Neurospora crassa OR74A: one gene and its partners. The protein of the gene in region 6 interacts with the protein of the main gene of each other region in a pairwise test. Links are inferred from orthologs where the notes say so. Each region holds a gene or a part of one and is shown on either strand. Other genes may lie near its edges.

The links.
Region 1: the proteins of NCU07319 (region 6) and trp-2 interact in a protein complementation assay, tested with the Saccharomyces cerevisiae proteins (2 studies listed by BioGRID). The link is inferred for Neurospora crassa OR74A from reciprocal best matches to the Saccharomyces cerevisiae genes SEC27 and TRP2.
Region 2: the proteins of NCU07319 (region 6) and NCU07727 interact in a protein complementation assay, tested with the Saccharomyces cerevisiae proteins (2 studies listed by BioGRID). The link is inferred for Neurospora crassa OR74A from reciprocal best matches to the Saccharomyces cerevisiae genes SEC27 and TVP15.
Region 3: the proteins of NCU07319 (region 6) and NCU03387 interact in a protein complementation assay, tested with the Saccharomyces cerevisiae proteins (2 studies listed by BioGRID). The link is inferred for Neurospora crassa OR74A from reciprocal best matches to the Saccharomyces cerevisiae genes SEC27 and SEC18.
Region 4: the proteins of NCU07319 (region 6) and NCU02538 interact in binary tests that used the Saccharomyces cerevisiae proteins (3 or more experiments, as listed by UniProt). The link is inferred for Neurospora crassa OR74A from reciprocal best matches to the Saccharomyces cerevisiae genes SEC27 and RET3.
Region 5: the proteins of NCU07319 (region 6) and pro-1 interact in a protein complementation assay, tested with the Saccharomyces cerevisiae proteins (2 studies listed by BioGRID). The link is inferred for Neurospora crassa OR74A from reciprocal best matches to the Saccharomyces cerevisiae genes SEC27 and PRO3.

Annotation. Positions count from the first base shown.
Region 1 is NC_026506.1:3,652,692-3,657,712, reverse strand, and holds trp-2 (anthranilate synthase component I), read left to right. Parts: upstream 1-1,874; 5' UTR 1,875-2,043; coding exon 2,044-2,219; intron 2,220-2,296; coding exon 2,297-3,869; 3' UTR 3,870-4,377; downstream 4,378-5,021. Other genes in the region: NCU17136 (hypothetical protein), read left to right, coding at 769-1,371; NCU05130 (hypothetical protein), read left to right, coding at 4,752-4,940, 4,990-5,021.
Region 2 is NC_026504.1:2,074,181-2,078,295, reverse strand, and holds NCU07727 (COPI-coated vesicle protein), read right to left. Parts: upstream 2,265-4,115; 5' UTR 2,010-2,264; coding exon 1,990-2,009; intron 1,830-1,989; coding exon 1,758-1,829; intron 1,500-1,757; coding exon 1,456-1,499; intron 1,388-1,455; coding exon 1,304-1,387; intron 1,224-1,303; coding exon 1,051-1,223; 3' UTR 630-1,050; downstream 1-629. Other genes in the region: NCU07726 (bcp-1), read right to left, coding at 1-63, 175-279; sre (siderophore regulation protein), read right to left, coding at 2,773-3,617, 3,683-4,115. UniProt on the Saccharomyces cerevisiae protein: Golgi membrane protein involved in vesicular trafficking.
Region 3 is NC_026502.1:887,115-891,835, forward strand, and holds the start of NCU03387 (vesicular-fusion protein SEC18), read right to left. Parts: upstream 2,940-4,721; 5' UTR 2,657-2,939; coding exon 2,298-2,656; intron 2,234-2,297; coding exon 31-2,233; 3' UTR 1-30. Other genes in the region: NCU03386 (hypothetical protein), read left to right, coding at 3,304-3,311, 3,366-4,425. UniProt on the Saccharomyces cerevisiae protein: Required for vesicle-mediated transport. Catalyzes the fusion of transport vesicles within the Golgi cisternae. Is also required for transport from the endoplasmic reticulum to the Golgi stack.
Region 4 is NC_026501.1:2,662,178-2,667,099, forward strand, and holds NCU02538 (coatomer zeta subunit), read right to left. Parts: upstream 3,044-4,922; 5' UTR 2,871-3,043; coding exon 2,831-2,870; intron 2,751-2,830; coding exon 2,649-2,750; intron 2,565-2,648; coding exon 2,324-2,564; intron 2,251-2,323; coding exon 2,007-2,250; 3' UTR 1,770-2,006; coding exon of another isoform or gene 243-1,769; 3' UTR 159-242; downstream 1-158. Other genes in the region: NCU11234 (translation initiation protein Sua5), read left to right, coding at 243-1,769; NCU02539 (cell division control protein 54), read left to right, coding at 3,545-3,869, 3,933-4,922. UniProt on the Saccharomyces cerevisiae protein: The coatomer is a cytosolic protein complex that binds to dilysine motifs and reversibly associates with Golgi non-clathrin-coated vesicles, which further mediate biosynthetic protein transport from the ER, via the Golgi up to the trans Golgi network.
Region 5 is NC_026503.1:1,528,294-1,532,553, forward strand, and holds pro-1 (pyrroline-5-carboxylate reductase), read left to right. Parts: upstream 1-1,529; 5' UTR 1,530-1,777; coding exon 1,778-1,835; intron 1,836-1,942; coding exon 1,943-2,883; 3' UTR 2,884-3,203; downstream 3,204-4,260. Other genes in the region: NCU06470 (hypothetical protein), read right to left, coding at 1-398, 482-658, 827-982; hat-1 (histone acetyltransferase type B catalytic subunit), read right to left, coding at 3,391-4,260.
Region 6 is NC_026504.1:4,378,851-4,383,886, forward strand, and holds the start of NCU07319 (coatomer beta' subunit), read right to left. Parts: upstream 3,300-5,036; 5' UTR 2,963-3,299; coding exon 2,945-2,962; intron 2,683-2,944; coding exon 2,659-2,682; intron 2,563-2,658; coding exon 2,517-2,562; intron 2,450-2,516; coding exon 2,308-2,449; intron 2,249-2,307; coding exon 2,058-2,248; intron 2,000-2,057; coding exon 1,800-1,999; intron 1,741-1,799; coding exon 1,615-1,740; intron 1,557-1,614; coding exon 1,316-1,556; intron 1,265-1,315; coding exon 1-1,264. Other genes in the region: NCU07318 (mannitol-1-phosphate 5-dehydrogenase), read right to left, coding at 4,219-5,036. UniProt on the Saccharomyces cerevisiae protein: The coatomer is a cytosolic protein complex that binds to dilysine motifs and reversibly associates with Golgi non-clathrin-coated vesicles, which further mediate biosynthetic protein transport from the ER, via the Golgi up to the trans Golgi network.

The DNA of each region.
Region 1 (5,021 bases), on a different chromosome or scaffold from region 6:
AATGACATCATCCATCTACCGAATCAAATTGTCCGTTCTCTGTCACGACTTCCAATTGAAGGAGGCGCGCCAAACGTCTTCCATTATTGAACCTGCCCATTCCTGCTCAATGTCACACTCACCCAGGGAAAATCCTCTTCGAGGTAATTTTGTCCCATCTTGATTACGAGTGGTGACCACGGCGAATATGCCTTCAGCACTCCAACGCGAAGGCACGATATGAAAGATTAAAGAAGGCTATGCGCAGTCAACAACACACCAAGAAGGGACCATCTTCTGTCGGATTCAAGGGATAATGGAAGAATCCCATCATGTGTCGCCCTCTTGAGACGCGTTTTTACATACCTGGAGCCGAGGAAGCTACGCCATAGGTGATCGGCAACTGGGCTGCTGGTGCCTCCCCAGCCCAGCCATTCGCGTATCCAGCCATGTTTCCGTGACTAACCATTCAGAATCCAGGCTTCGACCTCAAGCAAGAAACGAGTCAAAAATATCATCGGCAGATGCAAGATGCCCTCCATCATGTACAATTACATCACCGGTCCCAATCTCTACCAAGACGAGATTGAAAAGCCGGCAAACATGTATGGACATGATGAACAACATTGGTTCCTAAGATGCCAGGGACACATTTCTTCAAGATGAAGGACCCTTATAACTAGCCTTCACCCGCCTGTTATACTCGGGAGTCTTCACAACAGTCTTCACATTCCATCACATTGAAGAAGCGAGAGCACCAAGTCCGCGAGTCAAAACAAACCATCAACCATGGCTCCCCTACCACTCCCACGCATACCCGCCTCAACGGCCGAGAAACTCCAAGACTTTGTCTTCAAACGGATCGTACACCCAGCTCTCCAAGGAGTCGAAGCCATCCACCCTACAAGAACCTTCAGCCCCATCACCCGGCGGCAAGATGCCCCGCCCACCGCCACGGTAACCTTCGTCCAAGTCGACAACGACAACGACAACGACCCTGATGACGCGCAAACCCTCAGCGGCGGCGCCATTGCCGGCATCGTCATCGGCTCCATCGTCGGCTTGCTTCTTCTCATCTGGATTATCCGCAGCTGCTTCAACCTGGGCGCTCCACCGACACACGGCAAGCGCAACAGCAAGGCTTGGTACGGTGACGTGAGGGATGAATACCCGCCCAGACACGTGGGCGGGGTGAGACACTCACGATCGAGGTCGAGGCATTCGCATAGCCATCATCGGGGTCATTCTAGGCACCGGAGCCATTCGAGGAGGTCGTCTTCGATGCGCGAGGTGCCGGTTGTGGTGGCCTACCCGACTCATGTGTATGATGATCGGAGGGGGAGGAGCAGTAGGAGGAGTCGGAGTCGCAGTGTTAGTGTTTCGAGGTATTAAGGGGAAGAATGGAAGCTGATTGGGAGTATGGGAAGGAGAAGCTCAATTAGGATGATAGAGCATTGCGCCATGCGTAACGGATTGACGAGGCAACGAATTGATGACTGATTGATACGAACATATTCTTTCCCTAAACTGTATAGTGTCCGGACAGAATAACATGTAATGAATAATGAACAGACACTGGTGTCTTGGATAGAAGCCGGAACAGTCCTTCAATAACATCAATACAGCGACTTTTCACTTAGACACTAATCGTTAGCAGGAGGCAGTGCAATATGTGAAAACACTAACAGCGTCACTTGGTGCATGATGTACACCTTTGATGCCGGCTTATCGGCTTATCGGCCGTCAAGGTTGCGTTCAGCCAGGAACAAACCCCGCCCTTCCGGCACCTTTTGGCAGGAAGCCCCACTCCGTGAGTCACCAAACGCGGCAGGCGGTGTAAAATTATGTATAGCGTTGGAGGGCAAGTGGAAGCATGCCACTTTCACGGCTGCGATCGATGGCGTCCCGTCTCCTCCGCGACCGGTTCATTCAGTTGTCACTTTGACATCCATCCACTGACTCTTTCCACTTGTCTCTGTGCCAATTCCACCCAGGGAATCCCCTCCTGTTCCTGTTTCCGTTTCTGCCTTCCTTTGCTTAGACGTTACAGTTCAGTTGTTCAGGATGGCTGCCCTCGACATCAGGCCGTCCCTGGAGGACGCGCGCAAGCTCTTCGACCAGACATGCCAAGCATCAGCGACCTCGACAGCATCCCCAAGGCCCACCCTTCTCCCCCTCTGCATCTCCTTGCCTGCCGACCTCTTGACGCCCTCGGCCATCTACCTCAAGCTCTCCGCAGGGTGCGTCTTCCTCCCAAACCTCTCTCCCCCTCGCCGTGTGTCCCGTTCCGAATAGCTCAATTGACTCACTCGGCTAGAGCGACAGCTGAGTACTCGTTCCTCCTCGAGAGCGCCACTGGCAGCACCGAGACTGTCGGCCGCTACAGCTTCATTGGCGCCAACCCCCGAAAGGTCCTCGAGACCGGCCCCGGCTACCAAGATGTCGGCGATCCCATGAAGGCCCTTGAGCAGGAGCTCAGCCAGGACAAGGTCCTCAGCATCCCCTCCCTCCGACTCCCCAAGCTGACGGGCGGCGCTGTCGGCTACATCTCGTACGACTGCATCAAGTACTTCGAGCCCAGGACGGTCAAGGGTCGCGAACTCAAGGACAACCTACACATCCCCGAGGCCCTTTTCATGCTCTACGATACCATGGTTGCGTTCGACCACTTCTCCTCCGCCTTCACCGTCGTCACCCATGTCCGACTTCCCGAGGACCCCTCCGGCGACTTCGAGGCGGCCTACAACGCGGCTTGCGACAGCATTCGCTCGACACTCGAAGTGATCAACCAGCCAGAGACGCCGCTCCCGCCCAAGGACTCTAGCGCTCCCGTCGCCGATCAGACATTCGCTTCGAACGTTGGGCGCCACGGTTACGAGACCTTTGTGACGGAGCTCAAGAAGAACATTGTCAAGGGTGACATCATCCAGGCCGTCCCATCCCAGCGCTTCTCTCGCAGCACCAGCCTGCACCCCTTCAACATTTACCGGACCCTGCGCACGCTCAACCCCTCGCCGTACCTCTTCTTCCTCTCGTGCTCTGACTTCCACATTGTTGGCGCCTCGCCCGAATGCCTGATGAAGACCGACGGCTATGCCGACCTTCCCACGGATACCCGTTTTGGCTATAGTGCTGCCGAGGCCCGCTCTCGTCCCAGGATCGTCAACCACGCCATTGCCGGTACCATCAAGCGTGGCCTCAACTCGGAGGAGGACGATGAGCTTGCGGCCGTGCTGCTGGCCTCAACCAAGGACCGCGCCGAGCACGTCATGTTGGTCGATTTGGCCCGCAACGATGTCAACCGTGTCTGCCACCCGTCTACCGTCAAGGTCGACCGCCTCATGCGCATCGACCGTTTCTCACACGTCCAACATATCACCTCGGAGGTCTCCGGTCTGCTGCGCCCCGAGTGCACCCGCTGGGACGCTTTGCGCTCCATCTTCCCCGCCGGTACCGTGTCGGGCGCGCCCAAGATTCGTGCCATGGAGCTGATTTACGACTTGGAGAAGGAGAAGCGCGGCATCTACGCTGGCGCTGCCGGTTGGTTCGCCTATGATGTCATTCGCGTCGAAGGTGGTGAGGGTGATGCCCCTGTTACCACTTTCTTGAGCGAAGGACAGATGGATACCTGCATTGCTATCCGCACCATGTTGGTCAAGAATAAGGTTGCCTACCTACAGGCGGGCGGTGGTATTGTATTTGACAGTGAGAAGACGGAGGAGTGGATGGAGACCATGAACAAGTTGGCCGCCAACTTGCGCTGCATCGAACTGGCTGAGAAGTACTACGGCGAAAGTACGGGATCCAAGTCGGTGCAGGAAATCATTGAGGAGGAGAGGAAGAAGGGCGACGAGCAGTACAAGCTGCAGACGATGAGCGCTGGGGCGTAATTGCGAGTATGGTGTATTTGTGTGTGTTGTGAAGGCTCAGTCAAAACAGGATACCAGGTGAATCAATGTTTGAGCTGCAGGCTGAAGCCTTCCCATGATAGGTGTGGTCTGGGTGAAACTCGGTGTCCTTGTCTGCCAAGTCCACTGCTCTGTCCTACGTCCCACCCTGTCGGCGATAACTGTCCCATGAGCATCGATATACCCTTCCCTTCTCGGCGGCCGCCGAATTCTTTTCCCCGGCTCCTATTTCCCCGACTGGCTAAAGCGAACCGGCCAACGGCCTCTCCCTGCTAACACTCCGCTTTCCGGGGTATACACTGTAAGCGCCCGTCTTCCCGCCGCACCGGGACTAAGGCGCCTTTGTAAGATAGTTAACGAGGCCGAGATACTGGAGACATATAACCCTCCTATTCAGCGGCGGGTATTGCATCGGTTAACGTATAGGAGAAGATCTCTTTGTTTTTTTAATTTACCCCCCCAAAAAAGGTGTAAGGTGATTGGAACGGTGACACTTTTTCGGGTGCTACAGGGGCAGTCAACGCAGCAACTAGTGGTGCCACCTTTTTTGTCAGGGCGAGCTTGTCACACGTGAGACCACATCACAGCCTGACATGATGTACTGGCTCGGTTGCCGCGACCGGGAATAGTGGGTCCCGGGTTTGAACGCGCCTTGGGCTGGCCACTCATTCGCGCCCATGATTCTATTCCGTCGTTAAACTTCATCTTGCATTCTTCGAACAACATGCCGCTACTGCATAGTAGTATTCAAACCAACTCATCTCCCCATTTCTTTTACAACGTGGCAAGCCATTTGCCGCTCCATCCTCTATCGTCGAACACCCACCTAACCACGTCCGCACCCTGCCGTCCGGGGTCGTCATCATGGTCCGCACTCGAGCTCAGAGAGGTCAGCCCTTGACAGGCAACCGATCCCAGGGCATCCGCAAAAGCGCACCTCAAAAGCGCCGTCGCCTCCGAGATCCAGACCCAACAGACACGCCACAAGATCAAGCTGGATCAGATCAATCCAAAGTTCCGTCATCTCCAACGGATGGGCCTCGAAAACGAAAGGTATGACAAGCCTGTCCTTCCTGTCATCTGTTAGCTAATTAGACTACAGGATCGACAAATATCCGTTGATTCCAAACACCA
Region 2 (4,115 bases), about 2.3 Mb from region 6:
GTGGAAGTCGATGTCCTTGTCGTAATTGAACAGCTCGAAGTCGACGTTGATGATATCCATGTCCTTGTTTCCAACCAATGTTAGTATTACGACTCCCGGCCAAGAGAGGTTCGACCAAGATGCAAGTGGTCGGTTTAACAACCGAGCCTGGTGCACCAAGGGAAAGTAACTCACCTCATCCGAGTCTGAGCTGTCACTATCCTCATCCATCTTATCGACTGTGGGGTCGTTCTGGACGACCTCCTTCTGGGCTTCCTCTCTCGATCTTTTCTTGCCCATCTTGAATGTGGTACTTGAACGACTCAATAAAAATGGTCCTTATTCGACTTGTCAGTCGCATATTCCACACATGATTGTGTTCACAGGGCTCCTTACTTGGTGATATGTGGTTGACTTTGAGGTCATTCAGGCCGTCAAGCTCAAAATTTTGTAATGCAGTTGTTTAAGATTGAAATTGATAAGAACCTTATCGCCTACCTGCATATACCCTAACCCTTCCAGCTTTAGATACAACAAAATGGTTGCTAGGACAACCACAATTGCCCAAACTCCAAAAAGGGGGGGATTTCCAACCACGTTCACCCAGTTAATGATCTGCCATTGTGGAAAACTGCCACCGCGAACGATAAATGGAAGATACTTCATCTTTACGGACAGTGCTTGTCTATGGATGCCAGAAGACTGCAGGCCAGTCCTATCCAAAATGTTGACTTGGCTGCACCATTGCTGCCCTCAAACTAAAGTATAAGCTAAATCGTTGATCTTCTTACACATCCTTGATGTTATCTACTGAAAGTAACTACGTACCCCTTGACTTGTGCTGCATTCAGCTGGCGCAACATATTCCTCAACATTCTGACACCAGTTGATCACCAGCAGCGCTCCTGAGTAGCTGTCAAACAGACCATCCTCCCGCTACTCTCACACCCCAAACGTCTCATCTTGGTATGGGTCGACATGACATTGTCGGCGGCCACAGAGCCCTTTTCATGCTTACATAACCAATTCTCGGCAGGGCATTACTTCCCAAATAGTGACGTGTATCACAAACTACACCTGCTCAGCGCCCCAGCCCGCATCCACCTCGCGCATGTTTGGAGGGGGCTCAATAGAGGGCACAAATTCGAGAGCGACATAGGCGACTCCGACAAGGAAGATGATCGAGCCGATAATGATTGTAGCCCAGTGTCCATGGGGAATGATGCAGCCGACGAAGATGTAAACTGTACAAAGAGTAGACCGACGATTAGTCACAATAACTCAGCAATAGCAGCAGAGGGGGGGTGGGGCAACAATAACGTACAAACACCACGACCAAGAAACGAGAACATGAACGACGCATAGCGGTAGACTTGGTGAGGGATCTGGAACTCCAGGAGACCGGTGGCTGTGAAGAACAGCGTCAGCGTTTCGGAAACCATTTGAATGTTTCTGTCGACGTATGCGACCACCTACCAACACCAAACAGGATCGTGTAGCACCCGAGGATAATTGGTTGACTGTCGACAGTAACTTGGTCAGTTTTACATCTCCATACGATTTCTATCAGCCTGCGCAACAGTCCGGACAAAGCATGTAACACCCTTGTGAGCATAGGCGGGCGCGCACTGGCAGCCGGGACATCCAGGCTTCAGGACCATGATCGATTTCGGCGACCGCCCAAGATTGCTGCGTCCACAATATCCGCTCGTGGAGGGAAGCGCATAACTTTGTACAGTCGGTCGGCTTGCTAACGGGCGTACAATGAGGAAACGTACATTCCGAGAGGGAAGAACTGGGAGACACCACCCAGGATCATAAGCACTGCAACCGCGAGGTTGACAAAGCGACTAGAGAGGAGGACATCATGTTAGCAAGTAGTTCTGAACCTCGAACGGATGCTTGGATGCACGCAGTATTGGGGGCCAGCGGTCTTGCTTGTTCTCCGCTCTCATCCCCTTCTTTCTTTTCTTTCTCCATAGTCGCACGAGCGGGCGGATGTGAACGTACAAAGAGTCGGAGAGATCCATTATGGCGTTGTTTTAGTAGTGGCTGTGGTGGTGGAGGAGGTGCGAATACGTCGCAAAGGTTGGTAGAATGTCGCAGGAACAGGTGCGATCTGCTGGGTTCGACGCAATCTAGAGAGCGATTCAAAATGAGTCTCGGAAATTTGCGCGAGCGTAGAGATAGATGTGGCCACTTGGTGGTGGTTCTTGACGGAGCAACGAAAGATGTTGTGAGGATGGTGTATTCTACAGTGTTGCCTGGAACAATCGAAGCTCGAGGTCAGGAAGCTGGTAGCCTCACCTGCACCAAACAGGAGGGTCGGGTGGTCCCTGCCGGGGTACATTGTCCACTAAACCGGCCCCAAACGCGCGCAACGTGGGAGCTCCGCCCTACGACGCTGATGCAAGCGTGCGCGGCCTCTTGTCACTGGCTCCTACGGCATGTCAGGGCAGGGGCTTTCCGTCTGGAACTTTGAAACTTCCATTGCCGCATCACACTTCGCCATTGCAGCGAGGGTGTTGCAATTAGGGTTTACAGCCATGAGACGGCTATTACTATGCAAAACCAAATCCACTGGACGGCATCGATGAATAGACGCATAACCACTATGCGGATACTATGACTAAAGGTCTCTGGCTCCAACTGTCATTGGGATTTCCTCAAAAAGACTATGCCTTCCGTTGCTATCTATCTATGCACAAGTCAAATTCCATGGGTATGCTCTCCCGAATAACTCCAGTTGTTTCCCCCGAATTCACAGCATGCCGCTTTTTCAGCCTCCGCATGTCAATCATAACCCAACTCGGCAAGCTCCCGTTCCTTTGCGGCCAGCAACTCTCTCATCATTTCGGCCTCGCGCTCCAACGCTGCTCTTCGCTCTGCCTTCATCCGCTCGCTATCATTGTGGGTATCTCTCGAGGCGCTCCGCAAAATCGGAGCTGATGTTGGTGTCCCAATAACCGTACTGTTTGAAAATGACCCTGGACTGTGTGCTGGAGTCAGACTGCTCATGGCTGGGGACCGGGAGGCTGGTTGCATCCGTAACTGGTCTGCCGGCGAAACCTCTCGGTGTATCTCAGAACTCGGCATCGGGTTGAGAATGGATTTGATGGAAGACAGGCGCTTATGACTTTCGTTGTCATTATGAGACGAAGGTTCGTTCTCTACAGCAGATATCGACCGCTTTCTCGATGGGGACAGAAATGATGCTGGTGAAATGGACGCTTGACGATCAACTGGGAGCGCCAGTGAATGAATGGGAGCCAGTCGATTCTCGTAAGTGAGAGATGCATGAGCCCCGTGGTGTGGTTGATTTGTATGAGATGAGTGGTACTGTCCCAAGGCGGCTGAAGACAGCGGGGATGCCTGTCTGTTTCGCCGCAATTCGTCCTCAGGCACGAGCGTCAATGGTCGCACTGAACGTCGGCGGATGCCGAGATTAACAGATCCATCTTCGTTGACCGTACCTTTCTCCATCGGAGGTTCTGATGTCGCGGGTGGTGAATCTGGAGCCTCACTTGGCTCAATTTCGGCATCACCTCCGGCGGCAGGAATCACACGTTTTCTCCGTTTGATTATTGCCTTTTTCATGGTCACTGGCCGATGCACACCGTGCAACTTGTAATAGAGACCTTTACTCGAGTTAGCAAATTCCATCCCATTTGTAACTTTTCAGGCCATAAGTTCATGCACTTACCGCACGCATTGCAAATGGTATGACCGGCTTCGTCCCTTCGCCAGAGCGGAGTAATGGTAGTACCGCAGTTTTGGCAAGCAATAACAACGGTTGTGTTTTGCGATTGTACGTGTAAGGCGGTGATGTCCATCTCAGTCGGTTCTTCCCCGCTGCCCTCTGCTGCTTGAGGTTTCTTGGAAGACGCGGCTGCTGCGCCCTGACACTTTAGCACGTTGAGACTCGCACTCTTGGAAACGCGGTTGTTGTATGCGGGGCAACCACCACACCCCTCCGCACCACCTGTGCCGTTGCATCTTCCGCCTCCAGGGCACGATCCTGACGGCGTCTGATCGGCGGCCACATACGTTGCTCCCGGGTTGCTTGGCAGTAACGGTGCGGTTGCTTTTTTGGGGGACAATTTGGCCGCGGCCTGCCTAACATTGCTCGCCATCAC
Region 3 (4,721 bases), on a different chromosome or scaffold from region 6:
CTCCTTGTCTACAGCTCTAGTTCTCTCTCTCTACCTAACATTATACCGAGCAATCAACCCGGCCATCTTCTCCACGAACCATCCCTTCGGATCAGGACTCGTGTCCGCGCTCTCCGCAATCGTCAGGATCGTCCTGACACCCACACCCACGCTATCCGACCCGGTATACTCGCGTAGGGTATTCAACACCTCACTGACAGCCGCCTGGTCGCCACCAAACGCTCCCACCTCGTTCAACACTGCGCCCAACTCCTGGAGGTTGTTCACAGCGGGAACGGCAATCTGGTAGTCAAACGACTCAGTGACGTCCAACTGTTCCATGACGGTACGCTGCGAAGTCGTGGCGAGAATCAAGAGACGGTGGCCCTTAGGTGGAGGAGTAACCAAAAGGGTGACGAGGGCCTGGAGGATGGTGTTGGACAGGCGCGGGCCGACGGGGTTCCATTCGATAATGCGCTCGATGTTGTCAATAATGAGGAGGGAGAGCGGGGACTTGTAGGCGTCGGTGAAGATCTTGTGCATGTAATCCTTCTTGGCCACCTCGTCGCGGAAGCCGACCATGTCGGTGGGGGTGATGAACTTGATGAAGGGGAAGTCGGACTTCATGGCGATATGGGCGGCCAAAGCCGTCTTTCCAGAGGCCGAAGGGCCGTGAAGGAGGACGGTCATGTGCTTGAGGCGCTCGAGCTTGCGCACGTTATTGACGTAGAGCAGACCGTCTTCCAGGATCGACGTGATACTCTTGGAATAGTGGATGACGCCGTAAGCCAGGTGCTTCTCAAGCTCGGACTCGTCGGCGCCGAAGGCGGGCTTGACTTCGTCGAGGGCGTTGAGGAAATCCTGGCGGTTGACCTTCATGTTGGCCACGTCCTCTGAAACGCCAGCCATGGTGCCGACTTTGATGTGTCGGGAGAAGGCGTACGAGGTAGCGGATTTGACGAGACCGCTCAACTCGGCACCAGAAAAGTTCTTTGTAAGAGTGGCAAGCTCAGCGAGGTCAACGTCGTCAGCCATGACCTTGTTCTCCTTCATCTTGGAGGTGTGGATCTTGAGAATCTGGCCACGGCCATGCTCGTCGGGAAGCGAGATCTCGATTTGAACCTCGAGACGACCAGGACGAAGCAGGGCATCGTCGATCATGTCCTTACGGTTGGTCATTCCGATAAGGAGGATGTTGTTGAGCTGGTCGACACCGTCAAGCTTGGAGAGCAGCTGGTTGACAACACTGTCTCCGACGCCGGTACCACCACCAGCACCCGAACCTCTCTGCTTGCACACAGCATCCAACTCATCGAAGATGATAATGTGCAAGCCGGACTCGTCTCCCTTCTCCTTGTACTCCTTCTCGGCATCGGCGAAGAGCTTACGGATGTTCTCTTCAGACTGACCAACGTACTTGTTCAGCACTTCAGGACCGTTGATGACCTTGGGTTCCCTGGCGTTGAGCATCTTGCCGATCTGTCTGGCAATCAGGGTCTTTCCGGTACCGGGAGGACCATACAGCAGCATACCCTTGACGTGCATGATGCCAAGTTTCTCGATGAGTCCGGGAGGGAAGATACGAGAGGCAAAGGCACGACGGAAGATGGTGGAGAACTCGGTATCCAGACCACCAATGCCCATATTCTCGAACTTGAAGTCTGGGGCGATGATGGCGTTGGCCGCTGGGCGCTTGTTGGAGCCCTTGAGCTTGATGGGTGACCTGGCATCCTTGTAGAAGCCAATGCTGGCCTGGTTGGTGAGAATACCGCGTGCTCCAGGGTCACTGCGTGTGGGAGCCTCGCCCGATCCCAGCATGGTCAGGTCAACCAGAGTGACCGTCTTGACCATGACAGCCAAAGGGATGTTCTTGACGTCAAGCAGGAACCTCTGACCAGGAGCAAAGACCTGGTTCTGGAAAGTCTTGAGGAACACTTTGGCCAGCTCATCCTGGTCATAGGGGGTATCGACGATTCGGTTGGTTGACGCAAATCCGATCTCAACATCCATGGAGCCAATGTAGGCGTCGCCTCCACGGGCAAAGGGATCGTAGACCTCTCCCATCAACTCGTCCATCATGCCAACTCCGCACCATGTTCGCTGGGGGTCTGACAAGCTGATGTGACCCGGACGGAAGCCGGGGGTGGGGCGTGCCGTCACCACGTAATCTCCTCGTAGCTGTCTTCCTGTCAAGCGGATGTATAGATCGGTGCCATCGTGGTTCGGGGGGAAATCATTGGGCGATACGGCGCAACTAAAGTACGAGGTTAACAACTTTGGATTGGATAGACTGACCATGGGTAGCGCAGGGAACTCACATGTTGCCAAAGATGTAGAGACTCTGCAACGTCTTGTCATCCACCTTTGCGAGCCGAAGGGGGACACCGCGACCGGCTGGCTGAGAAGGGTATCCGCCAGGAGCGGGCTGTCCGCCGTAACCACCGCCACCGCCGCCGCCATAGCTCTTTTCAGATGGCGCACCTCCATATCCTCCAGCGCCGCTGCCAGAGTATTGGGGCTGAGAGGGAGCGCGACCACCTGGGCTGCCGTAGTTGGTTGGTGTTGCGCCGCCGCCGTATCCGCCTCCGGCTGCTTGTTGGACGGGACGACCGGGGAGACCAGCTCCTCCTTGTGGGGTTTGGGGCTTCTTGCCGAAGAGGTTGCCTCGAATATCCATGGTGAGTGTCGTGTGTGGATTATAAGTTACGGGTATCGAGGAGGAGTAGTAGGTGAGTGGACGTAAATGGGGAGAACCAGTCGCCCTTGGTGGTGTTTATCTATGTCTCGTTGGAGCGTGGAGTGGGCGCACTGGATTCGCGCGCAAGTACGTAGACACGTCGTGGATGTTGGTTCGGTTGATTGTAATTGACGATATAGCCGGGTATGACCACAGAAGATGCCTGTCCTTTGAGGCTGAGCTTCGGTGTTTTGTTGAGTTGAGAGAGGAGGGGATGCGGATGGAGGTCTGTTGTGTCAAGGGAACGCTATTACTACGTTGGGTGGTTTCAGCTGTGTCCCTGACGCTGTACAGGAAATGGTGTCAATGGCGGCTGTACTATGGAGCATATTGTCAGATTACTTGTACAAAGGCGCCAGCTTTCAATTAGTGGTGTATCCCCAGACTTGGTCCCCTGGCGCCCAGCCTGGACTCGCCCCTGACCAACGGGACCAACGTACGTCAAAGAGCGGGGCACGTGTTGGCCGCAAGATAAGATAAGAAGACTGACTCCAAGTAGAGGTGCTTCCTGGTTCTCCCAATGTTGTCGTCTTCAACTATCCAATCACTTGAAGGGAGACGATTTCATCGTTTGTCCCAACGTCAATATGCCTCTGTGAGTGAATACTGACTCCTTTTATCCAAGCAACAATTACCAACAGCATACAAGTCACCTTCTCGGAAAGAAATCATGGAACGTCTACAACACAGACAACGTCGCCCGCGTCCGCCGTGACGAGGCCGAGGCCCGTGCTCGCGAGGAAGCTGAGGAGCAACGCATGCAACAGGTCGACGCCGAACGTCGTCTAGCCATTCTGCGCGGTGAAGTTCCGCCGCCACTTGAGGAGCAACCGCCAGCATCAGAATCCAGCCATGATCATGGGCGCCGTCAGCGTGAACGTGATCCTCTGATAGAAGGACGCAAACGCAAGCGAGCAGGCGAGGATGACACCGATTTTGAAATGAGGATAGCGCGGGAACGGGCCACGGCAGGGCAAAATGCGGCGAGGGAGCTGTCTGGCCCAGTGAAGTCGACTTCCATCACTGCTACTACTGCATCGCTGGTCGATAGCAGGGGTCATATCACGTTGTTTTCTGAAGAGGAGCTGAGGCTTGTAGAGAAGGATGAGATAACAGAGACAGAAGCAGCCAAGAAAAAGCGTGAGGAAGCGGAGCAGCATCAGGTACGCTTTACCAGTGCGGCTGGCAGGGATGCGGAAGGCTTGTTAGCCAGAAATGGCCCCTGGTATGCGACACCGGATGGCGACGTTGCTGCGTTGGTGCCATCCAAGAACGTGTTCGGCAAGGAGGATCCCGGACGGAAGGCTCGTGAGGTGGAAAGACTGAGTGCAAGTGATCCTTTAGCGATGATGAAGAGGGGTGCCAAGATGGTGCGTGATCTCAACAAGGAACGGGAACGGGAGAATGAGGAGAGGCAAAGGGAGCTAAAGGAATTGCGAAAAGAAGAGCGACGACGAGAAAAGAGGAGGCGAACAGAATATCGCAAGGAAAAACATGATAGTAGAGCGTCTGGTGACGAATCTGACTGTGGTAGGCGGTCTCGGTCGGAGAGGCGGGAACGGGACCATGATCGAGACCGATCGCGAGATAGAGACCGACACCGCGACCGTCACCATGGCCATGACAGGGACCACAAACGGGGTCGTCACCATGAGGAAAGGGAGAGAAATCGTGACCGAGAACGAAGCCGCGGAAGTGAAAGAGATTAGGAAAGGAGGAGAGATCACTCTCGTGACAGGCACCATAGACGGTCTAGCAAGGACCGAGACGATCGCGAGTATCGCAAGCACAAAGACCGTGATGCCCATGATGGTAAGCATGACCATCACCGGCATCACCGCTCGGAGAGGTCAGATTACGAGCACGAGCCAAGACGTCCAAGAGACGAACAAGCATAGCATCCTCATTATTCTTGCATTGCGCAAAATCCAGAGTAGATAAAAACCTCAGCGTCAACATAAATAGCCAACAAGATACCCATCCAAATATAATCCCATCCAAAAAC
Region 4 (4,922 bases), on a different chromosome or scaffold from region 6:
ATGAGCAGCCTAGAATAGGGCGTAAACTGGTTTTGGGTTCAAGTTGAGACGGATAAAAGAGAAAAATTTCTCCACAGTGACTCAAAGGGAGCCAAACCCTGAGCTTGACCACCACCACCAAGTTCGAGACTTGTTGTCTAACACAACCGATGCCTCACAAGATATCCGTTGCCTAAAATCGCCAAGATAATCGACAGACTCTGGGTTTTCAATCCATCTCTCGAAATCGTCGAATCCCCTGAATGAAGGGAACTATTTGCGCCAATATTCTAACTCTCACTACCCGATTCAAACGCTTGCACCTCCCACAACTCACCCCAATCCTCAATCGACACCACCACACTATAACCACAGACATAACTAGACCAAAATCTACGGCAGTGCCATTGATGGCACCCGCTATGACAACTTCGACGACAATGGAAACCCGGATTCTCAAAGTGAAGGTGGACGACAGCAACATCCAAGTGCTCGGCCACTGGAAGGAGGAGTCAGCAGAACACAAAGATGGAAGCAAAACGAAAACTAGCAATCTCAACACATGGGAGGTCCCAACTACATCAGAAAATGAGAATATACTGTCTCCCATCCGCGAAGCAGCCCACCACCTCCGCACCACCGACATTCCTGTCGCCTTCCCCACGGAAACCGTCTACGGCCTAGGCGCCGATGCCACCCGCAGCGCTGCCGTCAAGGGAATCTATGCCGCCAAAGGTCGACCAAGCGATAATCCTTTGATCGTGCACGTTTGCGATTTGAGCATGTTACGGTCATTCATCTCTCCCTCCTTCTCCTCAGCAGGAGACGAAGAAGACCCCATCCCAGCCATCTATCACCCCCTCATAACCCGCTTCTGGCCCGGCCCCCTCACCATCCTGCTACCCAACCCCTCCCCCTCCCTCCTCGCTCCGGAAGTAACCGCCGGCCTACCCACATTCGGGTGCCGAATGCCCGCCTCGGCGCTGGCTCGCTCGCTGATCAAACTCGCCAACGCCCCCCTCGCCGCGCCCTCTGCGAACGCCAGCACTAAACCCAGCCCCACCGCCGCACAACACGTGTTAGACGATCTACGGGGTCGCATCGCACTGATCTTGGATGGAGGATCATGCAGCGTAGGGGTGGAAAGCACGGTCGTCGACGGGCTTTGCTCGCCGCCTGTGGTGCTGAGGCCGGGCGGGGTCAGCTTGGAGGAGATTAGGGAGTGTAAGGGGTGGGAAGGCGTGGAGAAGGCGTATAAGGATCAGGCAGAGGTCGGAGGAAAGACGGCGCCGAGAGCGCCGGGGATGAAGTATAAGCATTATAGCCCGAAGGCGAGGGTGGTGTTGTATGAGGCGGAGGGAGGGAGGAGGGAGGTACCGAAGGCGGATGTGAGGGAGGCGGTTGAAGCGGCTGGGGAGGAGGAGGGCAAGGGAAACGTGAAGAGTGTTGCGGTTATTAGGACGGGGAGATGGCCTGTTGCCGGGGGGTTGAGGAGTCAGGGGCTTGATGATGTTGCTGCGAAGGACAGCGGGGACGTGGCCGAGACTGGGTTCGCTGTCAGGGAAGGGCAATGGCTGGATGAGGACGGCACCACGGTGTTGGCAAGGCTTCTGGAGATTGATCTGGGCAACGATGTCAAGGGGGTGGCACATGGCCTTTTCGCTGCCCTCCGAGAGCTGGACAGGCGCGGCGCGGATGTAATATTCGTAGAGGGTGTGAGTGATGGAGACGATATCGCGGCGGCGGTCATGAACAGGCTGAGGAAAGCCGCTTCCGACATTAGAATATAGACGGGGTCAAACCCTATAGATCGCAAGGGAAAAGACTATAACTCCTGTTTTCTGCTAACCCATCACTTGTTGGCTTTTCGTGTCTTTTTGCTTCGCCTTTGGCTCATTACTCTGCCATAAAAAGGCTCGCCAAACAAAAGGGCCTGATACCTTTTTACGAACCAATGCGCCAACTTTACCTTGGTTGCTCCCATCCGCCACACTCCTTCCCTTGTCATTACCCACCCGCACATGCCCTTAGAGACCCTGACGAAGCCAGTCAGTAAGCTTAGCCTTGCCTAGTTGTGCCAAGTTGTTGACACCCTGCTCGGTGAAGGGGTCGAGGCGGCTGAGGTTGACATCGGCAGGCGGCGCCTTGCTGCATCGTTGAATGATGATGGTGGGATCGGTCTCGAGAACAACGCCGTCATCCACGATTTCGTCGATAGCGAGGGATACCAGATCGTAGTTTTCGACTATCGTGCGCTTGTCGATCGATTGCCTGAGTAGAAAGTCCGTGGTTAGCCAAATCATGTCCCATGACCGGCACCTTCACGTTCGCCATAAATACTCACTTGAAGAGCATATGCAAGCTGTCCCTAAGCGCCAAAAGTACGTTGTAGAGCAGAACTTCGTTCTCGTCCGCGCTACCAACGACGTAGATAGCAACGTCCGACTCCATCTTGTAAAGCACCACCTTGTTGTCGTAGAGGAGGATATCGCCCGTCTGCTTAGCTGTCTTCTGAAGGAGGCCCTTCTCGAAACGGGTTTGAGAAGTCTTGTCGGGATAGGGGTTCTGGGAAGCGCTCGAGGAAGCTGTTGTGCACAAGGTTCGGGCTGGTCAGCCTTACGGGAACATGCGACACCGAATAAGGGGTAAAAGGAGCGTCTATTGCGTACCGAGTCCGGCGGCCACTCCTGTTCCTGGTGCGCCAGCGGCAGCGTGAGGAGGAGTGTAGTATTTTGAGAATATCCGCGAACCGTCATCGCTGGAGAGGATTACTGTTGGAACGCAATTGTCAACATTGCTCGACGTGGCGCGTATAAGCCAGGACCCAGGAGCAGCGTGGTGCCTAGTGTACCTATAGCGTTGACGCTATACAGCGACATTCCTGGCGACATCTTGACTGGTTATCTGGGGGTTCTTGTTTCTTGATCAATTGCTGTCTCGAGACTGGTATCGGTTGGAGAAGGTCGGCGACGAGGGGCAACTCGACTTCAATGGGCGCAAGTGGGTAGGTATATAGTGGTTAGCTTGAACTCCAGAGGTGCTGCGTAGGTAGGTAGTGCTCACAATGACCAGGGGCAGGCGGTATCGTTGGTTACCGTGGTGAGCGTGGGTATTGTGGGGTGAAGCGGTCCCTGTGATGTGGCTTGAATCCAGAGCGAACACTCCAAGCGAGGCCCCACGGCGCGGTACGTACCTTACGTACCTGACAGTTCGCACTCAAGAGCAGCACTGCAGTGGCCTCGTCCGTCTCATTTGGGTATGACAGGGGTTTTAATGGGTCAACGCGAGTAAGCCCCCGCAGACACGAACGGCCGTGTAAAGTGCTTTTATCAGAGACGCGTGTGTCGCGACTGTCTTTTTTTTCGATAGGAACGTGATCCACCTTGCCCGTCCTGAACACGCTGCCGACCTGCCAACCACCTCGCAATTACAGAGGGATCGGGAGCCGCCACAACAACACTCCAGCGTCTCCATCCCAACCTGCCCGTCTTCTGTCCCTTCTTGTTGGTTTAGTTTCCATACTTTGTATTATCTCAACAAAACCACCGAGGACAGAGTAGTAAACATGTCTTCCCCAGCAAAGCGCAGAACAACGAGAAGCTCCCAATCAGCTACTCCCCGCACTACTCGCAGCTCGCAGGCTGGTCCTTCGAGCGCAACTCCTCGCCAGACACGCGCATCACAGCTTGCCTCTAGTCCCTTATTCTACGAGCCCTCCTCGCCTGCCAATGGCGCCGCCCCGGTATCTTCTCCCTTGAGGCAGATGAGCAATACCCAGAGCACTGCCCACCAAGGCAATGCGCCGAGCTCGCCTTTGCGCCAGCAGACAGAGACCCAGAGCGATGCTGACCGAACTCCTCGCGCAAACGGACGGAGCCAGTTAATTGGGGGTATGGCTGTCAACCAAAAAAAAAAAAAAAAGGACTACACTGAATGCTGACCACACTCCGCAGACTCCTCTCCCATCCGCTATGCCTCCAGTTCTAGCCCGGGCCGTCAGCTTACTCAACAGTCCGATCTTCGTAGCGAAAGCAGTCAGCTCTTCGTCAGCTCGCAAAGGTCCGTTGCCGGTCGATCCCGTCGAGGCGACATCAACGGGGACCCTCTTCGTACTCCCGCCCAGATTCCCCGCCGAATCATCCTCGACGACGCCGGTCGTGTGATCCGCGATGCCCCTGGCTCCGATGCCAACTCGTTTGTCACCAATAACCCCAATACCTCTGAGGCAGATGCCCTTGGTGGACAAAGCCAAGGTCTTGTTTGGGGTACAACAATTTCTCTTGACGATTCGTTCTCCGCGTTCAAGGACTTTCTCAGGAACTTCACCAGGAAATACCGGATGTGGGCAGATGGCGCGGACGAGGCCGAGACTATTGGCCATCCGGATGCGGATTCGAAGCCATATTGGGAGGCACTGGAGAATATGCTGCTGCTTGGTACCAACAAGCTGTATCTGGATCTCCGCGACCTCAAGTCCTACCCGCGCACCTTGAAGTTATGGCATCAGGCCCAACACTATCCTACCGAAATCATCCCGGTCATGGATCAATGCGTACATGACTGTATGATGGAGTTGGCGCAAAAGGAAATGGCCAGCCAAAGAGCATCCCAAAACTCTAGGACCGCTCCAGGTGCCTCACAAAGCTCGGAGCCGAACTTCCCAAGCTCTGAAAGGAGCGAGGAACCGCCCACCCCGCGGCCTGCCCAAACAGCGGCGCCCACAATTGAGGACCAAGTCAGCCAGATGGCGTATGTGGTTCGCCCGTGGGGTCTTGACAAGATCACCAACCTCCGTGACCTCAACCCATCTGACATGGACAAGCTTGTGTCCATCAAGGGTCTTGTCATCAGAACCACGCCGGTCATCCCCGACATGAAGGATGCATTTTTCAAGTGCAGTGTTTGTGGTCATTCTATAACCGTTCAGTTAGATCGTGGCAAGA
Region 5 (4,260 bases), on a different chromosome or scaffold from region 6:
CGTTGCTCAACTTGTTTCTTGTCGAGACGAGGGGCGGCAGTGTTGACGCCTCCGCCGCGTTTGCTCAAATTGCTATGCTGTTGGTTGCTAGAGGAAGGTCCGCCGGCGGCATTGGTGGCGTTGGTGCTGGTGGGGAGGGTACCTGCTGCTGCTGTGGAAGAAGATGGAGGAAAAGGAGGAGGGTAGGAGGAAGAGTGGATGGCGGTTTGCGAGGGGGGCATGTTGGTATCGTATCCCGATGCTGCTGCTGAAAGGTTGTTGTTGTTGTTGGCAGAAGGGGAGAGGACGAGGTCCCCTTGGGAGGAAACGTAGGATTCGCCGCGTTCGCGGAGGACTTCAAAGATGTCGGTTAGGATGGTGGCGTCGAGAAAGGATTTGGCGTGGAGGGCTTGGAGGACCTGTTGTATGTTTGTGTTGTTTTTAGCATTGGCTGAGGATTAGGGGGGGGATAAAGACGGGTGAGAAAGGCAAAAACACAAACCTTGCGGACAACCTTGACGTTAGCCGCCCCTGACCCGTCATCTGGCGCCACGGCATCGACCACACGAATAATGTCCCGCTGCATCATGCGGATGTAATCCTCTTGTCCGTCTTTGTAGGCCATGTCGAGAAAGTGCTCGATGAAGTACATGATGTTGGCTCGCATGTTGAGATTGCTCTGGGAACCTTTGTTAGTGAATGTCTTGATTGAGCCAACGAGCCGCGGGGGTAGGGGGAGGGATGAGCCGATGAGGGTGAGGCTGGATGGTTTGACACCAGCTCAACTCGTCTTCTTCCCAAAATGATTGATTGACTGAGCAAACATGAAGATAAAAGATAAACACACCCTTTCAAGTTGCTCCAGAATGCAAGAGTGCAAATCTTCAGCTAGATCCTTGTGTCGGAGAGCATACTGTGCTGCCTTTTGCGAGGATGTCACGGAGGCACTTAGTTGGCGGAGCTGGTTTGTGAAGCGCATGCGCACCTCGAAAGGGTCGGCCATTTTTGCTTTTTTTGGTGATGTATGTTGTTTTGCGTCTAGATGCTGGTAGTTGTTGAAGATGTTTCAGTTGTGTAAGTGATGTAGTTGGGGTGGGAAAAGAAGGGACCCTGGTGTGACTGAAACTGCTATGGGTTGTTGTTCGGGTGTAAGTGAATGAATGGATGTAGTTGAGTTACTCCAATTGTTCACCTTGCCCGATGTTTATATACTTTAATTATCTGCTGTCGTGCTTCAATGCGCTTGCATAACTGGCTCATCTGCACCTGCTTTTAATTTTCAAAATTTGCTCAGTTCTGCAACTGACGCCAACTTGAACTTGAGATGTCGAGTGAACACGGAAATCATGAATATGACAGGCACGAAAGCATTTCAAGGTTGTCGTCGCCAACAACACGAGCATTCAAAAAGAAGAAAGGACGTTGAACTTGGGTAACCACACTAACCCGCATATAGCAGGCGGTGAGCATGTTAACGAGGCGCTAGTTCTCTTAGTACTGTGTGGTAGCGATACCGGGGTCCTAGTGGGGTCTGTTTACAGCGGCAAACTCTCCACTGACCGATAAAGTGATATCACAACTCAGGATCGATGAATAAGTTCCCGTTTTGGGCCTCATCGAGATCGTCTTCACACTTCACTGATCGACCTCTTTTTCTTATCTCTCCGACAGGAACCAACTCGTTTATTTATTCTCTTCCAATTTTGGACGACCCGAGTAAACAACAACTGTCGAACCTTTCCACTTTCAACTCAATTTCTTAAAACCACCACCACCCACGACACACAACATCAAGAACATGGCTGCTCCTCAAGTAAAGAGCTCCTCCGAGCTCACCATGGCCGTTCTCGGCTGCGGTAAGTGATCCTTCCCAAATCTCACTCACCTCACACGCCCGTCACAACCCCCTTCCTTCCCTTGCCCAAATAATGTCAGACATGGCACTAACCCTACCCTCGTCCAGGAACGATGGGCATCTCCATCCTCTCCGGCATCCTCTCCTCCCTTTCCTCCATCGCCCAAGACCCCTCTCCACCACCCACCAACCCCCCCGCCCTCCCGCGCCACTTCATCGCCACCGTGCGCTCCCCATCCTCCGTCGCCAAAGTCGAGTCCGCCCTCTCCCCGCTCGTCAAGCCCTCCGTTTCTACTCTGCGCGTCCTCCAATCCACCTCCAACGTCTCCGCCGCCGCCGAAGCCGACATCATCCTCCTCGGGTGCAAGCCCTACATGGTCTCTGGCCTACTTTCCGCATCCGGCATGAAAGATGCTCTGACAGTCAAGCACACCGAAGGCCACGCGCGGTCCCAAAAGATCATCATTTCCATCTGCGCGGGCGTGACGGTTCCGGACCTGGAGCGGGTCTTGCGCGAGGACGTCGGACTGTCCGCTGATAACTTGCCGATTGTGGTGCGCGCGATGCCCAACACGGCCAGCAAGATCAGAGAGAGCATGACGGTTATCAACACGGTTGACCCCCCGCTGCCGGATACCGTCACGGAGCTGCTGACGTGGATTTTTGAGAGGATCGGCGAGGTCGTGTATTTGCCTCCGCACTTGATGGACGCGTGCACTTCTTTGTGTGCTTCGGGCACGGCGTTCTTCGCGCTGATGATGGAGGCGGCGGCGGATGGAGGTGTGGCGATGGGGTTGCCTAGGGCGGAGGCGAACAGGATGGCGGCGCAGACCATGAGGGGTGCTGCTGGGCTCGTGCTGGAGGGAGAGCATCCGGCGATCTTGAGGGAGAAGGTGAGCACGCCGGGCGGGTGCACGATTGGCGGGTTGTTGGTGTTGGAAGAGGGTGGGGTTAGAGCGGCGGTTGCGAGGGCGGTTAGGGAGGCGACGGTTGTTGCGAGCTTGTTGGGAGGAGGGGGAGCGAAGAATGTCAATGGTACTAGGCATTAGAGCCCTAGAGAAAAGGGGAGGTGAGGATATGGAGTGGGCGGGGTCTGCCGAAGGGAGGTCCTAGACGGTGTTGGTAAAAGCCTACCTCTAGACGGAAAACCTAGAAAGTCTCGAAACCGAAATACCAAAGGTAGACAGACAGGTGGATAGTGAACCGCACACGGAGGTTCATGACATTATTTATCTCCAACCCCCCTCAGAAAGAATGGGTCGAGGTTCATAGATAGTTAGAGAACATAAAAAGGCGCCAGACGCCCTTTCAATATGTACAAACAAACAACAAATAGAGTCATACAGGGAAAAACATATGCTCGCACCAACAATGCTACTTTCAACCTATGTGCAAGACATCCACCCCAAGCATACTTAGGCTAGTATGCATTATGGATACCACCTCATATCATACGGGGAAAAATGCCATATTTTCGATGCTCAAACCCCTACAGGTACCATTGACCACCCATCCCTCCTGTACTTTGGACTTGGACATGGGTAGAGAGGTAGGCTCTATGCATGTCCGCTCTCGACCTTGGCCTTTTTGCTCGACGCAGCAGCTGTTCCCTCCGCCTGCTCAACCTCGTCCAACTTGCGCTTACCATTAGCAGCAGAAGGAGTAGCCGGCACTTGATCACCGGCAGTCTCACCATCAGCCTGAGCCAGCTTGCCCTGCTCCTCAGCCTTGATCAGCAACCGAGCATAATCAAACTCCACACCAGCAAAAACCTTGGCCAGCTCCTCCCTGCGCTCCTTAAGCTCCAGCTGGCCCAGCGCGTCCCTGTTGTGCACGTATAGCCTCCGCTTGACGAGCATCATCCATAACCTATACGTATGCTCGTCTTCGGGGGTGGGCTTTGGCAGGGCCTTTTCATGGCCCTTGCTCTTGCTTCTGCCGCTCTGCTCCTCGTAGTCCTCATCCTCGGGAGCGCCCAGTCCTGGCCGGACGCTCTCGGGGAGCTGGGACATCAGGTACATCTCGAGCACGCGGGCAAACTGCCGAGGCACGATCTTGAACTTCTTTCGGCAGGCTTCCCAGGCTGCTTGGTCGACAATATTGCTGGGTGCTTTGCCCTCCTCGGGAATCTCGACGCTGGTGTCGATCTTGAGCGCTTGGAACTCGGGTTGTTTGCTGAGGAATGCGAGGTCGGCGAGATCGCGCATGTCATCGAAGGCCTCGTTGGGGTCTTCCACCGTCAACTCAATGGTAGGCTCGTGCTTAAGATATTGCTGATAAATAATACTGTAGAGGCGCGAGCCGAGGCCCTTTTGCTGGAAGGGCGGAATGATGATGAACTGGGAGATGCGGGTGCGGCAGGGGAGAGTGTCGAGGTCGAAGTCGCCGTCGACGGAGAAGGTCGGGGTATCGGTCGGGGTCTTGGA
Region 6 (5,036 bases):
TTGGTGTTCTTGAGGATCTCAATGCAGCCCTCGACGTCACCGAGTAGCCACTTGGCGCTGAAGGCGACGTTGTGCGCGCCTGCCTCTGTAGCTTGCTCAGCAAGCTTGGCAAGGCCTTCGCGGTCTGACGTCGAGCTGTAGACAAGCAACAGCGAACCGAGATCCTTTGCCTTGACGAAGCACTCGGTGGCAAGAGGCACATCCCAAGCAGCAAGGCCGGCATCACCAAGCGTCTTCCACTTGTGGTCCGCATCAGTCTCTCGTGCAATGTCCAGGGCGATGTGGAGCTGGCCAAGCGATAGCGCCAGATCGAACTTGTGCTCGGGGTCAGTTGCCACCTCAAGCGCGAGCTCCTTGTGGCCCTGTCCCTCAAGGAAGCGCGCAATCTTATTGAGCTGATCCTCAGGAATGCTTGGGAGTAGCTCGGCAGCCGTCTCCATATCCTCGCGAAGGACAAGAGTCTGGTACTCCAAAACGGGAAGCGAGAGCGCGAAAGAGGTAACATTAAGGTCCTTATCGGTGATGTAGACGCGGCCATCACGCTGGAGGTAACCCAAGATGTACATGGGCTTGTCGAAGTGGGCGATGGTGTAAGTCTGGTCGCCAACCAAGTAGTTTAGACGGTTGGTGCTGTTGGTGTAGATCAGGACATCTCCCAACCACTCCGCCGAACGGATACTCTCGCTGATGTCGGTAACGACATCAAACGCAGCCTCAACACCATCATCCTCGACAAGACCAGCCTGGACCGCTTCGTTATAGTTCTCTCTCGAGAACCTGAGGACGTAGGTGCTATCTTCGCAGGCAAGAGCAACCAGCTCGCCGCTCTCGCTCCAGTACACCTGCTTTGGCTCCACCTCAATGCGTCTGACAAGTCCACCCGTCCGCCAGTCGTAGAAGGAAATGCCACCTTGGCCCTTGACACCGAGGAGGACACCGCCGGTAAGACCGTCGGCAGCAAATGGGACGTCGAGACCGCCGACCTTGTTCTCGAAGTTCTTGAAGATCTTGACGCTGGTGGGAGACTCACGAATGGCGAACTCGTTTGTGCTGGAATACTCCTTGGAAGCCCACACAAAGTCGAGGGCTTGACCGAATGCCTTGTTTCTCCAGGCGAGCGCAGTGTAAACGATGTATTCGCCGTCGCCGCAAATAGCAGCGAACCGACCATTGGGAGAGTGGATGAGACTTTGGGGGTACACCTCGGCGGTTCCAAGCTCCTTGGTGGTGAGTGTGATAGGTTCGTTGTCCTTGATATCGGCATCTGATCCCTGTTAGCTCGGAGTCACTCTCGATGTTCCGTTTTGTAACTCACCAGCACCCTTGATCACGGCAGATACAACCTCATTGTGCCTGGCCCACACGATCTTGCCGGAGCCATCCATCGACACAGCGGGCTCTTCCCGACCAAGCTTGATGACCACCGAACCATCATCGAAACCAACAGCAATACCCTGCTTGCCCTTCTGATATGACACACACCATGCTCGCTCCAGGCCGTAGTTTAGCGATTGCTCGAACCTGTAGGTGTTGGCGTTCCATATCCTTATCGTGCCCTGCGGTTACGGTTAGTAATAGCCTGCGAGCGAGTGGACAGGTGCAATATCGACGTACGTCTTCCGAACCAGAGATAATAATAGGGAGCTCTGGGTGGTAGCAGGCAAAGGATACGTTGTTGGTGTGGCCTTCAAGAGTGGCGATCAAACTCTTGGTGGTATAGTCCCACACTTTCACCGTGCGCTGTGCCAGTAAAGTCAGCTGTGAAGTCCTATGCGCCAGCAGATGTCAATATAACTCACGTCATCAGAAGTTGTGAGAAGATAGGGTTTGTCGCTGTGGGGATAGTAATCGACGTGGTTGACGCCCTTGGTCTCGTGCGCCTCAAGCTGGAAGTTTGGTGTGGATGAACCCAAGCTCCAGATCTTGACTGTCCTGTCCAAACATGCCGAAGCAAAGGTGTTGGTATCTTTGGGGTTGATGGCGAGGGACATGACGTAGTCTGAAGCTCTGTTAGCACGCGCGCTCTGCTTCGATGTATCAGGCTGGTGGCGCCATACGTGAGTTGCCCTCGAATACCCGCACGTTCTTCCATCCCTTCTCCCAATCCCAAAGCTTGATCGTCATGTCATCACTGGCGGTAAGGACGAAGGGTTGTGTAGGATGGACGCAAATGGCTCTGATGTAGTCGGGATGCGCCTCGAAGGATGTGATCTTTTCGCTCGTGTTGTAGTTGTAGACTCGAATTTGGCTGGGATTCCAGGTCAGCCTTCCTGTCTAGCTCTAGCCCAAGTTCCATGTCGAACATACAAGTCATCGGAACCACAGATGATCCAGTTCTTTCGCGCAATGAAGCGACCAGCGCGGACGGGGACATCGGTAAGCTCGAAGGTCTTGACGATTTGTTGTGTCTCGTATGACCAGATATAGACGTGGCCGCTGTAGAGGGTCGCTAATCACCAAAGTAGTGTCAGAATTCAGGGCCCCTCCCATCGTATCGCGAGTCGAATCAGACGTACTCAGAATCCATGGCTCGGTAGGATGGAAGTCGATGCCCTTGACTCGCTATGTGCGGGATATGGGTGAGCAATGGGAACCTTGAATGTTGAAAGACTGCTTGGTACCGGAGAAATCAGGGGGTCAAGAGGACAGGTAACGAACCTCAGAGCGGGCAAACAACTGGCGCTGCATGTTGACAGGCATGTTAGCAGGTGTTTTCTAATGAGAGATGGCCCAGTTGGAGGCAGCGATGTGATGATGGACGTGTCGGCGCAATGGAGCTGGCCGTCGAGGTGCCGGTACAGCAGACGGAATAGGGGCAACTGGAAGATCCCAGGCCGAAGCTAAGGGAGGTGCAAGTGTGCGCCAGGTTGCAGAATCGGGTTGTTCTGTTGGGTCTCGGTGACACGGCCATGGTGGTGCAGACACGAAGCCTGTGCGAACTTGCCTTGACATCCAGCCTCATGTTGGGCGAGTTTGGGGTGGGTGTGTGGTGTGTGGTGTGTGGTGTTTACAAGTTGGAATTAGAGGACGGGGCGGTCGTAACGGTTCTCGAGCTTCCAAGCTTCAGGTGGGGTGCGTGCTGGATGCTGGAGATGGTCCCTGACCGTGCAAGAAAGCCGCCGTCGGGTTCGTCAGGGGTGAAGCTATCGGAAGTGGTGCAATCGTGGTTATATGTATTTGGTGTATTGGATATCTGGTCCGCCGAAGGGGGGGGGACGTGGTTGGCGGTACGAGGATTCGGAATAGAGGCTTCGGAGGCCTTGACACTTGATTGCGACGGGCCGGAAATGACAGCGGACGGTTGTAGAGGTGCCCGCCACGTATCTCGACCGGCCGCCGCCCACAATTTCGCGGCTGTGGTCTGCTCGCCGCTCGGGCCACTCTCTCCCTCAGGCGGTCAAGTGGGCACAGCTGCCGGCCACTGTCACTTCCTGCGCTCGCCAGCTGCTGCCTAAGGCAACGACCAACACTACAGCTTTGCGGATCTCTTGGCGCCCCCCTCACCGTCGGTGCATTCAGTGTTTGAAGCCATCACCATCGCCAAACCACGTCCAAAGTCGACCACTGGAGATCGTCAAAAACCAAAAGGCTTGGACCAACGCAACGGTCACTTTGTGAACGACTCAATTCCCAATCACATTTTGGAGGAGTGTCACACACGAGCAAATTTGCAAGATACGAGTATTTCAAAACCAAAAGGTCTCAGCGACGCAACAGGAGGCGCGACCGATGACGGTCAGTCGTCAAGTCGGTACTCCCATCCATTTTCATCGTTACTTAAAAACATTATCAGCAATCACCAAATATGGGCTCAAAGAAAAAGCTCGAAGCAGTGATCAAGTTCGACGCACTTTGCATACGACAACGTTACTGGAACATGGAGAAGAATTGAGTGTGAGTACTTCTTATTGACTTGAACTATATCTATCATTGCAAAGCGCTTCTAGTGATTGCGCAGAGACAATAATGAAGAAGAAAAAAGGGAAACCCAAAACCTCCAGGATGTCAATATGATCCCGGCTAAACGCCATTGATCCCAGTTGTATAATGCTCCGCGTTGATATCCCAGAAAGCAACCAAATGAACGCCATATTCTCCGGATTCCGAGGGTCCACGACACCGTTGCCCTATTCCCTATCCGTAAAGTCTTCGCTCATTTATCATAAGACATGAAGTAAGAATGGATACAAAACACACAAGTTGACAGAAATGCTCCATCTAGTCGTCGTGCAAGTCGGCCTGTACGCGCTGTACAACCTCGACCACCTTGGGGAACAGCTTCTCCTGCTCGTTCAAGCCGCAGACCTGCTTGACAACGTCCTCGGGCTTGTTGCTCGCCATGATCTTAGCAAGTTCGGCCGACTCCTCGTCGCCCTCGACGTTCTGGAAGCGGAACGCCATCTCAGCAGCATCGAGCAGAGCGCTGCAGTCCTTACCGTGTTCGGCAAGCTCGGCTGCGGGGCCGATGAACCGCTCCTTGCGGGACAGCTTCCGTAGGGGAGCACGGCCCACGCGCTCGACGGCATCCTCCAGGTGAGGGTTGCTGATGCGCCTGACAATCTTTTCAACGTACTCGTGCTGGGCCTGTTCGTCGATGCCGTGCTTTTGCGTAATGAGGTGGGATGTGTTCTCGAGCGCCTTCTTGACCTCTTCCTGGATGTCCTTATCTTGGAGAGCATCATAGACGGTGCTCTTGCGGCGGATGTAACCATGGTAGGCGGCCGTCGCGTGGCCGGTGTTGACAGTGTAGAGCTTACGCTCAATGTAGGGCAGCAGGTTGTCGACCCAGTTGATGCCCTTGATGTCGGGCGGCGACATGTCCTTGAAGGGAGTGCGGTCGACCACCCACTCATAAAACTTCTCAAGCTTGACATCCAAGCCTGCGTCGGCATCTTGGGCCGGAACAATGCGATCGATGGCCGAGTTGGCGAAACGGGCGCGCTTCTCATAATTCTCCAACCGGTGCGAGGGAGTGTTCTTAGGGTCCTTGATGTACTCGGCAAGAGTATCCGTCGCCCCAATGGCATTCTCGCAGG